Linked DNA regions of Lonchura striata. The protein of the gene in region 1 interacts with the protein of each later gene in a pairwise test. Links are inferred from orthologs where the notes say so. Each region holds a gene or a part of one and is shown in the gene's direction. Other genes may lie near its edges.

Evidence for each region.
Region 2: the proteins of EFHC1 (region 1) and KCTD4 interact in binary tests that used the Homo sapiens proteins (3 or more experiments, as listed by UniProt). The two-hybrid records come from large-scale screens. The link is inferred for Lonchura striata from reciprocal best matches to the Homo sapiens genes EFHC1 and KCTD4.

What each region holds. Positions count from the first base shown.
Region 1 is NC_134605.1:110,378,695-110,382,620, forward strand, and holds the start of EFHC1 (EF-hand domain-containing protein 1), read left to right. Parts: upstream 1-1,127; coding exon 1,128-1,256; intron 1,257-3,926. UniProt on the Homo sapiens protein: Microtubule inner protein (MIP) part of the dynein-decorated doublet microtubules (DMTs) in cilia axoneme, which is required for motile cilia beating.
Region 2 is NC_134604.1:60,949,844-60,953,769, reverse strand, and holds the start of KCTD4 (BTB/POZ domain-containing protein KCTD4), read left to right. Parts: upstream 1-1,306; 5' UTR 1,307-1,493; coding exon 1,494-2,267; 3' UTR 2,268-3,926.

The sequences.
Region 1 (3,926 bases):
CTCATCAGCCTCATTCTTTATCTCCCACGTCTGGCTTTTTTCTCTCTCCCACACCATGCTTAGGCAGACAGTCTGGCTGCAATTCTCCCCGCTTAACTTCTGCTTAGAAAACCCTTGGATCTGCCACCTGCCCTTGAATCACAGCCTGGCTTGCCTGGTGTAGTGGTGATAAAGAGAAAAAAGCAAAGATGCACAAAAACCTTCTTTTTCATGGAATCCCAGAAGGTTTGGGTTGGAAGGGACATTCAGAATAATCTCATTCCAACCCTCTTGCCATGGGCAGGGTCACCTTCCACTAGACCAGGTTTCTCTCAAATCCTGTCCAGCCTGGCTCTGAATGCATCCAGGGGTGAGGAATCCACGTCTTTTGGGGAATCCACAACTTCTAAATGCAGCAGATAATTTCTGTTTCCCATGGTGATGGATTTAGCTGTTTTCTCTCTTACATTTAGGAGTCAAGTTTTGCACATCCACCTTTTCCTTGATGGTATCCTTGATGCTTCTTTTAGCCCCTTCCTCCAGAGATAAAAATCACATTTGAAAGAGAGGAATTACATCAGTGCTACATATGAAAAATACACTATTTCACAACTATATACATTTTAATACATGTATATATACATCATAAACTGGCACAATCACTCCTGTTAAAATATTTCAATCTCTCCAGGTATGGATTTGTCCCTTCAGAGCTGATCGTTACCCTGCACACTGCACACGGCAGGGAAAACTCCCCCAAAAGAAGCAGTCCAGGTGCCACCACCCGCAAAATGTTTTAATGTGAGGGGTTTATGAGGGGCCACGAGGGGGATATGCAAGTCTGTGAGTGGGATACGAGTGGACTATGAGGGGCTGTGAGGGGAAACTCCCTAATAAAACAGAATGAACGCTTTCCACGTCTTTTTTCCCCGCTCCGGGGCCGAACTCCCCTCACGGGTGGGGGGGGCGGTTCGGCCCCTCAGAGCCCTCCCCGTTGCCACGGCGACCGCGCGCCCTTGGCACTCACTGCGCAGGCGCGGGGAGACGCGGAGGCGCGAAGGGCGCTGCGCATGCGCACTGGGCGCGGGGCGGTTGCCGTGGAGACGCGTGGGCCAGGCCGGGCCCGGAGCGCCGCCGCCGCCGCCGCCATGAGCTCGGGGCCGGAGCCGGAGCTGGGGCCGGGGCCGGGGATACGGCCGGGGACAGGGACAGGGCCCCCGATCGGGCCCGGGCCTGGGCTGCCCTTCCTCCCCGGCTGCGCCATCAAGGACCCCACGGTGAGCGCGCCCGCCCACTGTACCCCCGCTGTGCCCGCTTCCCACGGGAGGCCTCCCGGATCAAGGTGGGCTGGCCTTGTGTGTGCCCCCTGAGGGGTGACCTCAGAAACGGGCTTCTGCACCTCCCTGCACCTGCTTCAGGTGGTACCTGGTATCCCCTGGTGACGCTCTCTGGGAATCTGGTATTCCCTCAGACTTTGCTCAAAATCCACAGAAGGCTTGGGACTCCTAAACTCAATGATATTCATAGAATCACAGAATGGTTTGGGTTAGAAGACCGTAAAGATCATCCCATTCCACCCCCTGCCATGGGCAGGGACACCTTCCACTATCCCAGGTTGCTCCAAGCCCTGTCCAACCTGACCTTGGACACTTCCAGTGATCCAGGGGCAGCCACAGCTTCTCTGGGAACCCTGTGCCAGGGACTTGACACCCTCACATGGAACAAATCCTTCCCAATATCCCATCTATCCCTACCCTGTTGGCAGTGGGAAGCCATTGCCCCTTGTCCTGTCCCTCCACGCCTTGTCTGAAGTCCCTCTCCAGCTCTCCTGGAGTTCCTTTGGACACCAAAACCAATTCTGCTGTCTGCAAACTCACCCCTTTAGATATTCAATTCCCTTGAATCTATCCAATAATTCCCCCACAGTTCATAACATACCCCAGGGGAAATCCCCAAACTCGCTTTACAATCTTGAAATCTGATTCCCTCAGGAAAAGCTGCTGTTTCTCTGAACCATCTGAGTTTTCCCAAAGTTCTCTGAACTGATACTGATTCTGATACTGTCCTGAACCAAGTTCCTTAAATTCACCTGATACCTCCTAAGATGGATATACCCAGGAGAACCAATATTGATCAAACCTTGAGCATTCCTCCACATGAATTAATCCCCTAGATCATCCCAATATGATTATGTCTTGGACATAATTTGTCTATTACATAGATACACCTTGAAGTCACCAGTCTCATTGGCAATGAACATCTTCCAAAGCTCTGATACTTCCAAAACTGCTCTCCTGGTGTTGCCTGGAGAACTGAATCCTTGGCAGTGCAGGTCTGGAACCTGATAACCTGATGAGAGAACTGGTATCCCACCACAGAACTGGTGTCATCACTGCTTCCAGGATCATCCCCAGGAAATTACACACTCTCAGCTGTTCCCAGGTTCCCTGGAAGAAGCAGTCTCATCCTCATCCTCATCCTCTGCAGCCGATACTAAAAAAGGAAGCAACCTCTCCTTTTCCCCATCCAATGGTCCAGGACCTGATAACCCAAATCCTCCCAATATCCTCTTGAGGAAGTGGTACTTCTACAGAGAACTGATGCTTCCATTTATTTCTTTGATATGCTAAAAAAATGCCCCCCAAAACAAAAATGAGTTGTTTCATGCCTGGTTTGGGCTTAACCAGGAATTTACAGCCTTCCTGGAGAGTATCTTTAACAGAAAACATTCCTGGCTGCATCCAGCTTTGTATATGAAAATTCATTGTCACAGAATCATGGAATGGTTTGGGTTGGAAGGGACCTTAAAGATCATCTTGTTCCAACCCTCTGCCATGAGCAGGGACACCTTCCACAAACCAGATTGCTGCAAGCCCATCCAACTTGGCCTAAAATCAGTGACAACTGAGTCCTCCAATAGTAAATAGAGTAAATTACTCATAACAAATAGCCATCCAGCAATAAAGGTTGTCTCAGAATTATTCTCAGATACTAATATTTCCTTGAAGTAATTTCTAACATCTTGGAAATCTGCAGTTTTCCAGTCCATAAAACTGGCATAACAATACTTGGTTTCATAGTGAATGCCGAGAAGTTCTGAAGGAAACCTCTGTGTTCAAGTAAAGTGGTGTTACAGCTTAGTGCTCACTGGACAGGGAAACAGACACTGGGAGAGGGAATGGTGTTTGTGTCAAGTGTTACAGACTTGGCAAAAAGAAGGACTTAATTTAGTGGAATTTCTTCAGATAAACACTGGCAACAACTGAGATTAGGAATTTACATTCTGGGTTTTCCCTTTTAAACTTTCATTAGTTACCTGATCCTGGAAGATGTTATCTGGCATACAGGCTCACTTTGGAAGAGCTTGTCCACTCAGGAGCCTTATGAACCAACGAGGTGCTTTCTTTAGGCAAATGTGGGCTCTTAAAAGCCTGCACACTTCTAACAAACACTGATATTGCTCAAATTAAAGACAAACTTCCTGGTTTTCCTTGAATATTTTCCCCACAGCTTTCCCTTGGTATTTATTTAAGAGAAGGAAGTGGCAGTTCTGTGGCAGTTTATAAGATGTTCTGCTAAAACATCTTCAGACAAATCTTGTTTTCACCTGTTTTCCTCACTGCTCTCTCCTTTGCAAGATCTATAGTAGCAGTTTAAAGAGAAAATGGGGAATTATGTGGAATTCAAGTGGGGCCTGAAGGTATAAATAAGATAAGAGGCTTAACCATGAGAGGCGAGGAAGGGGGTGGAGAAGAAGCAGTTTGCATGCCTAAGGTCGGACTGACTGCAACTGGAAAAGGAGCTGGAGCTCGTTCTCTCAGCACAAGACATGCTTACAACTCTGTTTTACTTGGCAAAAGTCAAGAGGTTTTATTATCAGGGACTCATAATTTCCCCTGTTTTCTCTGGAGCTTTAAGAGTTGAGTGTCCAGTGGGACCAGGAAGGC
Region 2 (3,926 bases), on another chromosome or scaffold:
AAAATTCAGTGTATCTGGGATACACTAGGGATAGGATACCCTGGCAAGGAGAAGAGTTAGAGAAAACATTTATTTTCACTAGTCAGTTACCAAATAATAAAATAGTACAGTGATTACTCTGTGGTATCAATAAACAACCTTATAGACAGTGGGAGCAGTAGGAATAATATACTTAGAGCCGAAGAATTTACAGAAAAATAATCTGCCTTTCCACTGCTAGCAGGACACATCTATCTGTAAAGTGAAAAATACATCTGGAGGAAGATGGAACCTCCTCCTCTCCAGGTCTAACCCAAGGAAAGCCTTTGCTCCCACCTGTGCTGGGGAATGCGTGCAGTGGCTCCTATCTGTCCACTCCCCAAGGCAACACTCATAGAGATGTGTGGAGAGCTTCTCCTTTCCTGCTCCAAACTGCATACATTTAAAGGGGAAATCTTCTAAGAGGCAACTGGGAGGCTCAAAGTACAGGAGAGAAGACAGGCATTTGATTTCAGTGTGTTGTGCCGATGTCTCTGCCTCCCTCTACCCCAGTGTTGCTAAGCTATGGTGTTATGTGATGTTCAAAGCTATCTGTAGGCACACAAGCCCTTTGTTCCACAGGGCAGATGAGTTTCACTATTGAGAAAAAAGCAACTGATGCTAGACAGTCTTGGTGATTTAAAAACCATCATCAATATAAATGGTAAATCCTCAGTGTAAAACTGTTTTTGTCTATGGCATACAGGAAGGCAAGAAAGAAAACCTAATCAGGCTGCTGATCTTGTGATGGTGAGGATAGACCCTCTGACTGCAAATAAAAGCTTTTGCCACAAATCTGGAACAATCAGATCAAGTCCTTAGGACTACTTCCAGGGTATCTTCTGTGGAAACATTTTACTGCTGCACACATACCAAATAAATAAATGACATGCATATGCACACATTCCATAGATGATACCCCCCTTATACACACAGGGACACCTTTCATTTCTCTGTTGTCCTGCTGTATGCATCAGGTACTGTCATCAGTACTAAAAAACAACATGAAAAAACAGGCTTCATGAAAATAAAAATCCTTGAAACACAAATGAAGCTGTTTAACACCATAAGCACAAAATATGATTTGGCCAGCTGACACTACAAATACATCTTCAAGTATTAAAAATAAGTTGCCATTTAGTATAGCAGTACGTATTTCTGTGCAGAACACCCTAAGCTATGCAAACTACTTAGACTTAAGGGAAAGAAATAAAACAAACAGTTGTTATACGCTTCTTCCCTTACACAGTTAAATGCAAATTCTCTCTTACAGTCATATTCCTGCTATCTCCCTGCACACACAGCTGATACGCCACCTACTGCAAAGCCAAGCTGACAGTCGGAGCAATGCGAGCAGCATTTCTATTCCAACATCAAGCTGGAGCTGAATAAAGGTGCTTTTTAATAAGAAACATTCTCTTTGCAAGCTGACAAGAGCAAAGCAGGATAGCTGTATTGTTGTCCTAGCTTCAATAATGGAGAGAAAAGCAAGCAGGAGAGAAAATGAATGCGAAGAAAAAACCAGCAACTCTGAAAGCTCCGAGCTAGACAAGGACTATAAAACGTCTCTGATTACTCTGAATGTCGGTGGTTATCTATATATCACACAAAAACAGACACTAACCAAGTATCCAGATTCTTTTCTGGAGGGGATCATAAATGGAAGAATAATGTGCCCATTTGATGCAGATGGTCATTACTTCATAGACAGAGATGGACTCCTTTTCAGACACATCCTCAACTTCCTACGGAACGGAGAACTTCTTCTACCAGAGGGGTTTCGAGAAAATCAACTTTTGGCACAAGAAGCCGAATTCTTCCAGCTTAAGGTACTTTCAGAGGCAGTGAAAGCAAGGTGGGAGAAGGAACAGCTAGCATCCCGAGAGACTACTTTCCTGGAAATAACTGACAGCCACGACCGTTCACAAGGACTTAGAATCTTTTGTAATGCTCCTGAATTCATTGCAAAAATAAAATCCAGAATTGTACTGGTGTCCAAAAGCAGACTGGATGGATTTCCAGAGGAGTTTTCAGTATCTTCAAATATTATTCAATTCAAGTACTTCATAAAGTCTGAAAACGGTACACGACTGGTACTGAAGGAGGACAACACCTTTGTCTGCACCCTGGAAACTCTTAAATTTGAGGCTATAATGACAGCTTTAAAATGTGGATTTAGACTGCTGACCAGTCTGGACTGTTCAAGAGGGTCGATTGTTCACAGTGATGCACTGCATTTTATCAAGTAATCACAAAGGCAAAGGAAACGAGCACGCAGCCAGTAAACCTCCTTGAACTGCAGCCTCCTGGCATCACAAATAATGCATCTAACTAGCCCTGTACCACAGAGCTCAGCTGCTAATCAACTGATGTGAGCTAATGGTATGTAAATCTCATAATGACATCTATCTCTGGCTTACTTAAGCTGAATGAAAATTTTATGCCTGAATTTAACAAGAATTATCTGCTAACATTGTAAACACAGATGGACTGCTTTATGCTCTTTGCAATATGTTTTCTCAATGCTGTCTTTTAACCAGAGAGTCTAGCTGAATTTCTGTGTACCTATGTGATGAACATACATATACCTAACTGCTCTGCTCAACAGCAGTGAGAGTGTTTTCAGATAATAAGCAGGCTTAAAGTATGTATTGCTTATAACAAATTCAGAATGGATTTTAACTGGAATAAATTATTTTGACTGTTCATTATTGTTTATGGTAATGTATTGTATTGAATTTGCAAAAGTCAAGATTGCAGGAGAGTTTAAAATAACCAACTTAATTTTCAAGTTAAATGGTTTCTCAACTCACTTAACCCCAAATTTATACCACATTGCTATACTAATATTGCCAGAAACATGTAAACCAACAAAATAATGCTTGGGGAGATTAATTTTATTATAGGAATTGGGTTCAATCTGCACAGAATGTTAAATTTTCTAATCATACATACACATCAAATAGCTATTTGATAGTTATTTGATAGCATATCAAAAAGTATTTGACATTAAGTTTAGTGTGACAGGTTTCCAGTACTGGCATCCTACAATGCCACAATCAGTATTTCCTAGCAATCATTTGTGCTCCTAAGGACAGGCAATGAACAGAGCCCTTGCTTTGCACAGTGGCTTACGAAATGCAATGAGTACTATCAGTTCTGAACAGACTACCTGCTGGCATGAAACACTATTCACTCTAATTAATAGAATAAATATCTTTATTTTCCTCATCTCCACTATTTATAAAATCTTTTAATTGATATTTTAAACAGAGTTTTAATAGTTTCTATAGAACAACTGTAACTAATTTAAACCCAAGTCTTACAAACCAGCCACTTCACAAAAGCAAGCTGAAAAATCATCACAAAAGGCAAGAAGAAGCAGCACTAACTCTAAGCATTGTTTGTCATTTAAACCAATCTTCATTCACAGCTTATATGAACCCAAAATTCAAGTAAAATGCTTATAAAGAAAGAAAAAAACTAACTAAGTAGTCTCCCAAAGCATTGATTTTATAGAGGAAAAAAATAATGTCAACAAAAGGCAGTACAATCCATACTAGAAGTGACAACCAAGGAAAACAGCTAACAGAAGACAGGCTGAGAACAGCTGTGGTTTGGATTTTAGGGGGAACAAATCAATCTTTAGTATCAAGGGCTGAGAATACAAATTCAAGGTCCACTTATCCCTCAACATGAATCTCTTTTTCACTTTTAACATACAACAGGTATTCTTAACTAGGTCCCTTGCTAGAGGTGAATTAATGCAGGGATGCTACATCTCCAGACCAGGGAGCAGTAACTGAAACATATTCCAATATGATTTTATCAAATGAGGGGATTCAACCTCTCCATAATACTAATAATTTCTACGCAGTGTATTCATTCTGATGGAGTATTCTGGAGAG